Ovis aries: one gene and its partner. The protein of the gene in region 2 purifies or fractionates together with the protein of the main gene of each other region. This does not show direct contact. Links are inferred from orthologs where the notes say so. Each region holds a gene or a part of one and is shown on either strand. Other genes may lie near its edges.

Region 1 (3,656 bases), on a different chromosome or scaffold from region 2:
TAGTATATTATATTTTTTCATTTTTAATATATGTCTTAAAAGTCCATTGCAATTATTTTATATATAATTAAGCATGGTAACATTTGTAAATACTTAGGAAACTACCAACCAGTTCCCAGAGTAGAATATTACCAGTAAACATTACCTGTGGGGTCGCACAGAGTGGGACACGACTGAAGCGACTTAGCAGCAGCAGCAGCAGCATATATTTTTCCAGTGAAAAGATTTGTATTAGAGTCATGACTTACTGCAGTCTTAACATTGTTGGATTTATGTACCATCCTGATGACATTGCTCTTCATGATGGACTGTTAATTCCGATTGGAATTAACAAGTTATATAGTAAATTATATAGTAAATTTAGGTAGCCATGTAGGGCACATTCCTTGGTACCACTGGTATTTTACTAGGAGTGGATGTCCTGGGATTACAAAAGGTTTAGCTCAGTGTCCATGGCTTCCACTGAATGTCAGTAATGTCCCCCCTACTTCCACCAAAAAATGTATGTATTCATTGCTGAATGTGTTCTCTAGGATATGGAGTGAAGGAAGAGGGATTGTAGGAAAATATTGCCCCCTCTTGAGAAGCATTGGATTAATGATTAAGATACCTGATTTCATAGAACGATTATGGTGAATTTGTTTCAGAACTCTTGAAGAATATATTTGTATATTGTTAAATGAGATAGATACTAGGATAATTTCATGGTTATTTCTCTGAGAAGTCTTTTGTTTGATTTTGTGACATTGAAGTCTTACAAAAGATCTTTTAGACTCTTGACTCTTATCAAAGTTAACTGAACTATCCATAAAAAAATTTTTTCCCTCTCATAGGAAGAACAATTCCAATAGTTTAAATCGAATGAATGGTGTTATGTTTCCTGGAAATTCACCAAGTTACACTGAGAGGTGAGATTATTAATTTTTTATTATTCAGAGAGCTGCAGTTTCTAAATTTTGAATAGGAAACTCAATGTACTTTTTAAAAATTGGGAATTTTATGGCAAGTATAGGATGATATACCAAAAAGAATTAATTTGATGACTCTTGGTTCTGAAAGTATTTTTGTGATGTGTGCATATAAACCTTGAGAGGGATGACTTTTTTTGCAAAAAATGGGAAAATGATGTTCGTTTCTCTTACCATAGGTCTAATATAAATGGGCCTGGGACACCCAGGCCGCTTAATCGACCAAAAGTTCCTTTGTCAGTTCCCATGACAACAAATGGCTTGCCTGAGAGCACAGACAGCAAAGAGTCAAAGCAGAATGAGGACAAAAATCACAGGTGTGTATGTGATTTATTTTTGAAAACAAATGTTTTCCCGAAAAAGTTGCATTTATGGATGGTTTTTCAGCACTCCTTATTTATTATTTACAGTTTACTGTTGTTTTAAGGAGGAGAAAATATTTTAATGCACTTAAAAAGGGCATTAGCATTTGCTGACAATGGGCAGAGAAAAGACTTACTTGCTTGTTTGGGAAGATTCTGTAATAGGGTGTTAAGAAAATGATCATGATACATTTTTTTCTTTTAGAAAATTACTTGGAGAAGATACTTGTAAATGAGTTCAAATTCTGTGGATCATTTCTCTTCGTAGATCATAAAAGGAAATCTTTTATTGATATCCCATCTCAGAATTTCTTACCACATTAAGGGAAAGAAGTGAGTTGAGAGGAATTAAGAGTATGTCTCAGTGGGGAATTTGTAGTTTTATTGTAAGAGGACATTTAACTCACTGAAGAATTGAACACAAAGGTCATGTAATTTATTGAGTAGTCCTAGTGGGAAATGTTTAACAGTTGAGGTGTCCTTGGAATTATTCTCTTATTTTCGTTTGCCGAGATGTTACAATTTAACTTGCACAGTGAAAGTTACATATTATTAGATCTCAAAAATAGAATGTAAAGGATGAAGAAACAGTTTTATTAATGACACTTTTAAAAATATTTACAGTGACTCTTCAACATCTGAATCAGAAGGTTCCTCGGTGAGCCCTATAAAAAATAAACATCCAGATGAAGATACTGTGGAGGCAGAAGGGCATGAGGTAAAAAGACTCAGGTTCGACAAAGAAAGTGAAGTCAGAGAGATGGCCAGTCAAACCTCTTCCAGTGAAATTTCTTCAGTTATGGTAGAAGAAACAGAATCTCCATCTTCATCTCAGAATAAAGACAAAGAAAGTAGTTGTACCAGGCAGCACTGTACAGAAGAGGATGAGGAAGAGGATGAAGAGGAAGAAGAAGGTATTTAGAGACCATCTGTAAAAGGGTGGAGTAAGGAGATCCTCAAATTCTTGTACTTCATTTTTGCGTGAAAGAATTTAACATAATGGAGCTCCTTATAATGCTGATGTTGGGTTTTTTCTCCCACCTGTATGTAGTTGCTGCTGAGTTTCAGGGGATATGATTTGAACTATAGAATATCAGAATTCATGAAACTTAACTGTGGAGGTATTTTGAAAATCAAATTTAACTACAACAACATTTGCTTATTTTTAGAGTCTTTTATGACATCAAGAGAAATGATCGCAGAAAGAAAAAATCAAGAGAAAGAATCTGATGATGCCTTAACTGTGAATGAAGAGACTTCTGAGGAAAATAATCAAATGGAAGAATCTGATCTGACTCAAGTTGAGAGAGGTTTACATTCTGAAGGTAGTGAAAATACAGGCCCTGTAAGTAGTGGTTCTGATTGCCATGAAACAGAAGAATTAGTAGGATCCAATTCCAGTAAAACTGGAGAGATTCTTTCAGAATCATCCATGGAAAATGACGAAGCCACGGAAGTCACAGATGAACCAATGGAACAAGACTAACTATTTAGAGATACTTAGATGCAGTATTTTACATACAGTTCTGGTTTTACACTGTATAAAACGTTTATGTAATAAAGTGGACCTTTAGTTTTACAAGAGAAGCAGGTTGTAAAATAAAATACTTTATGGGATAAATCCTGAAAGAGAGATTCATGTGAGAACTGTGAATATCAGCTCCTCTGGGTCCTGCTTACCGCTGACTTTTTTTTGGTCTGGTCAAATCAGTGGTTTGTGTATAGATTTTTTTTTTTTTTTAGGGTTAAAAATTTTAAACTGGAAAATAATTATAATTTTGAAAACTTTTTTGGAGATGATCACATTTAGTTTATTACATATGCAAGGAAGCTTTTGTCTTGTCTCTTTCTGACAGCTCTAGTGGTTTTCATATTTTGGTCATAGTTTCAGCATTTTAACATGTGAACTATAGGGTTTCATGCTGGTTTCCAGATTTTATTGTTTGACTATGTACAATGGAACTTTAAGTCATATATACATATATATATTATTCTAAGGGGGAAATGTTATATTTTTCTGTTTCTATAAGAGATGAATACAGTGGATACTTTTTCTATTGGTAATGATTGAGTTCACCTCTTTCAGAAGACAGTTTCTTTCTCTTCTGAGTAATTCAGATAAAATCTGGCCCCTGTGAAACCCTGGAAATCTTAAGTCTGTTGAAATACCAGGTTAAACACATTCCAAGAGATCTGTTCAAACTAAATTCTTTTGTATACTTCTGTGGTACCTGAGAAAAAGACTTCATTATTTATGAGCAAATGTGCTTTATCTTGGAAATTGTGTTCGAACATTAGCTTACTATTTTGTAGAATGAATGCTTAT
Region 2 (3,656 bases):
GAAAACTCAGCAGTGGCCACCGGACTGAAAATCTTAGTTTTCATTCCAGTGCCAAAGAATGTTCAAACTACCACACAATTGCACTCATCTCATGCTAGTAAAGTAATGCTCAAAATTCTCTAAGCAAGGCTTCAACACTACATGAACCAAAGCATATTCTAAAACTCTTATCAGTAGTATGGTATTGGCAGAAAGAATCCAGAAATAAGCCATGTATAAAAATGTTAATATAAAAAAATCCTAATGGATTAACTAATGAATTTAAAAAGGTGATAAGAACATTAATATATGGTGTGGTGCAGCCACATGAAGTGGAAGCCATAAAAAAAAGGTTAATAAGTTCAACTTCACTGAAACCAAAAATTCCAAGGACTCCAAGCAGGCTCCATGGGGAAAAGATAATCTCTAAAATAAATGATGTTGGGGAAACTGAATAGCTCCATGCAAAAAATGTATCTTTTTCACACACACAGGAATATTCAGCCATGAAAAAGAAAGGAATCTTGCCTTTTGCAACCACATGGAGGACTTTGAGCGCATTGTGTTAGATGAAATAAGTCAGATAAAGACAAATAATATATGTTCTCAGCTATATGTAGAATCTAAAAAAGCTGACTTCATAGAAATAGAGATTAGAATGATGATTGTCAAGAGCTAGGAGGTGGGGGAAGTGGGGAGATGTTGGCCAAAGGGTACCAACTCCCAGCTGTAAGATGAATTAGTTCTGGGAATCTGTTAAATGTACAGCATGGTGACTGTAATTAATTATGGTATTCACACTTGAAAGTTGTTAAGAGAATAGATCTTAATGTTATCCACACACACAGGTGATGATTATGTGAGAGGTTGGAGGTTATTGTGATAACCATTTTGCATATACACATGTATCAAATGATCACATCCGGTGCCTTAATATTATATGTCAATAATATTCCAGCAGAGTTGGGAGAAAAGATCATAGGAAACATCCAAAGAGATGACATTTAGATGGCAAATCATATGAGCTTTTTTCTCCTCTCTTTCTTACTAATTTTCCATATTTTTATAATGTGAATGTATGAAAAACATTGATTAAAAATAAAATAAGAAAATGTGATTTAAGAGCTTTGATTTGTTTTATGTTATACATTGACTGTTATGTTAGTAGCTTACCTTGGTTCTCATTTTTACTGCTAGTTGTGTGGTCCTGAGAAGACAGTTTCCTTTCTCTTGACTTCCGTTTCCTCGTTCATGAAATGTAGCAGTTAGCCTAGATAGTTGTCCTGTCTTTTTTTAAAAGTTAAAAAAGCGTTGATGATGTTTACTAACACTAATTGTGATATATTACTCTCAAAGAGTCTAGTTCATTTGAGGAAGAAGATCCTCAATTTCAGCTTTGTTTAAACCAATAAAATTGTACTGGCTCATGATATTATGATTTCTTTTTCAATATATTTTTAATTGGCACAAACTTACGTGTACTGCTGCTCTATCTTAAGTGAATCTTTGGTAGATTTTATAACTTGTGCTGCTTTCAAGGTTATTTCATTATCTGAGTGTCATATTTGTGTGATATGCTGAACCAAGATATAGACTGACTCACGGTTCTTACCTAGAGAATTTCCCTTCTAGAATAGGGAAAAGATAACCACTGAGTGTGGATGAAAATCATAGGTGATAGCAGAGTTCAGAGGGGCTTAGCTTAGAGGTGCTTATTCTGTTTCATGGAAAGCTAGGAAGAGTTAAATTTTAAAGAGGGATTTCATATTTTGAAGTTGGGATAGAGCCAGAATGTGTATCAAAAAAACAGAGTCATTAGTTTAAAATTTTTTCTTTAAAGGGGAATTCCTTTAATTCTCTTGGGATCGTTTATTTCTGATAGCAGTTCACCCAACAAAGTTATCATTAGTAATGGGGAAAGATTTGCTAACCTTGATGTATCTTAATACTTTTCCTTTTCCTCCTAGGCAGCAATCATTAGTAGAGTTCAGTGTAGGATTGTGGCTTTGGATCTTCGAGGTCATGGTGAGTGAAGTTCTTAATTACTCACTGACTCAATGACACATTTGCCAACCCTTTTGAATAGTGTAAAGTATTAAAAAAGTTCACTGGGTCTGGTCATTTCCATTTGGGCATTTTGAGGAAAATCCTAGCTTTTAGTTTTCACAAATATTTTATAAATTCACACACATGTATATCTTGTTGAGAAAATGTCTGCTAATGTAACCAAATTCCAATGCTGGTGGTGTATAAGGAATGTGGAAAAATCTGCTACTGTAATTATCCTCCTTCTTTGCTACTCTAATTATCCTTCATAAAGATATGTCTGTAACAGAAAATCCTTGCTGTGCCTATCATGTACAATTATAAAGTCCCCATTTCATTATCCTTAAGTGAGATTTTTGGAAGACAGTACTCTTGATTTTATCATTTATCTCCTTGGGAATTTTATTTTTAAAATATTTTCTTTTTAGGCGAAACAAAAGTCAGGAATTCTGAAGACCTGTCTGCAGAAACAATGGCAAAGTAAGTAATACTGTTTATACAATCACCTGGCTTACATTACTACCATAAATAATAATATATCATTATGGCTGTCCTGGTGAGATTGTTGAACAATAAATAACAAAGAACATTTTACTTCTTTTTTTCCCCTCTATATCTGGTGTTTCTTTACTATTTAATATTGAAAGAAACCCCCAGTTTCTTGTTATATTCAGTATGATAGTCATCATTTAAAATGGTGCCCTGAAAATTTTTCAGGGAACAGTTTAGTCTCTGTTAGCTTTTGAAAAGTTTCTTTCTGTTCACAGAGGTGAATAGAACCTGAATATCTACTGGGGACCCAAGCTTGAAAAATAGTTGTTTACAAAAGGCCCTCTAAGGTGTTCTTAAGATATCCTGCCCACATACTTTTTCCAGCTTTATAGTAAGATGGGAACATGGTATTAAAGAATAACTGATTATACCCTGGGCTGCAAAGTAAAAGATGAGTATAGCACCTACAGTGGCTCTCAAACCTGGCCATTCATCAGAATTATCTGAGAAATGATTTAAAGTACAGATCATTCAGCCCTGCCTCACAGCTCTTGAATTCATGCTTCTACCAGTGGGTTTGGGCATTTATATTTTGATAAATTTCTATAGAGGAATCTGATGCAGCCAGTCCCATGACTGGTATTTGGGAACCACTATTCTGTATTGTATGGGCTTCCCTGGTAGCTCAGTAGTAAAGTATCTGCCTGCCGATGCAGGAAACACAAGTTTGATCCCTGGGTTGGAAAGTTACCCTAGAGTAGGAAATGGCAACCCTCTCCAGTGTTCTTGCCTGGAACATTCTATGGACAGAGGAGCCTGGTGGGCTGCAGTCCATGGGGTCACAAAGAGTTGCACATGACTGAGTACATACACATACAATGTTCTATTTTGTAAACAGGCTTTTTAAAGCTACCTTGCTTTTAATACATGGTCTCTCATGTTTTTAATGCATGCTCTCTCAAGTATTTTTTTGGCACCAAAAATACCTTGTCCCTTCTTACTTTAGCAGCTTGAATCTGGATGTAAAAGTTCTGTTTTTCCTTCAGAACCCAAATTCATGTGGCCAAAATTGTATTGTTACAGTAGATGTTATTTATGTGATTTCTATCTTCCAGGCTTTATTAAGTATAAATTAAACA

Evidence for each region. The genes of interacting proteins can lie anywhere in the genome.
Region 1: the proteins of PPME1 (region 2) and PPP4R2 purify together in Homo sapiens (affinity purification with mass spectrometry; 3 studies listed by BioGRID and IntAct, counting the BioPlex papers as one, with this or other methods). This does not show direct contact. The link is inferred for Ovis aries from reciprocal best matches to the Homo sapiens genes PPME1 and PPP4R2.

What each region holds. Positions count from the first base shown.
Region 1 is NC_056072.1:28,761,762-28,765,417, reverse strand, and holds part of PPP4R2 (serine/threonine-protein phosphatase 4 regulatory subunit 2), read left to right. Parts: intron 1-833; coding exon 834-908; intron 909-1,147; coding exon 1,148-1,285; intron 1,286-1,954; coding exon 1,955-2,244; intron 2,245-2,499; coding exon 2,500-2,816; 3' UTR 2,817-3,656. UniProt on the Homo sapiens protein: Regulatory subunit of serine/threonine-protein phosphatase 4 (PP4). May regulate the activity of PPP4C at centrosomal microtubule organizing centers.
Region 2 is NC_056068.1:52,311,856-52,315,511, forward strand, and holds part of PPME1 (protein phosphatase methylesterase 1), read left to right. Parts: intron 1-1,946; coding exon 1,947-2,004; intron 2,005-2,453; coding exon 2,454-2,505; intron 2,506-3,656. UniProt on the Homo sapiens protein: Demethylates proteins that have been reversibly carboxymethylated. Demethylates PPP2CB (in vitro) and PPP2CA. Binding to PPP2CA displaces the manganese ion and inactivates the enzyme.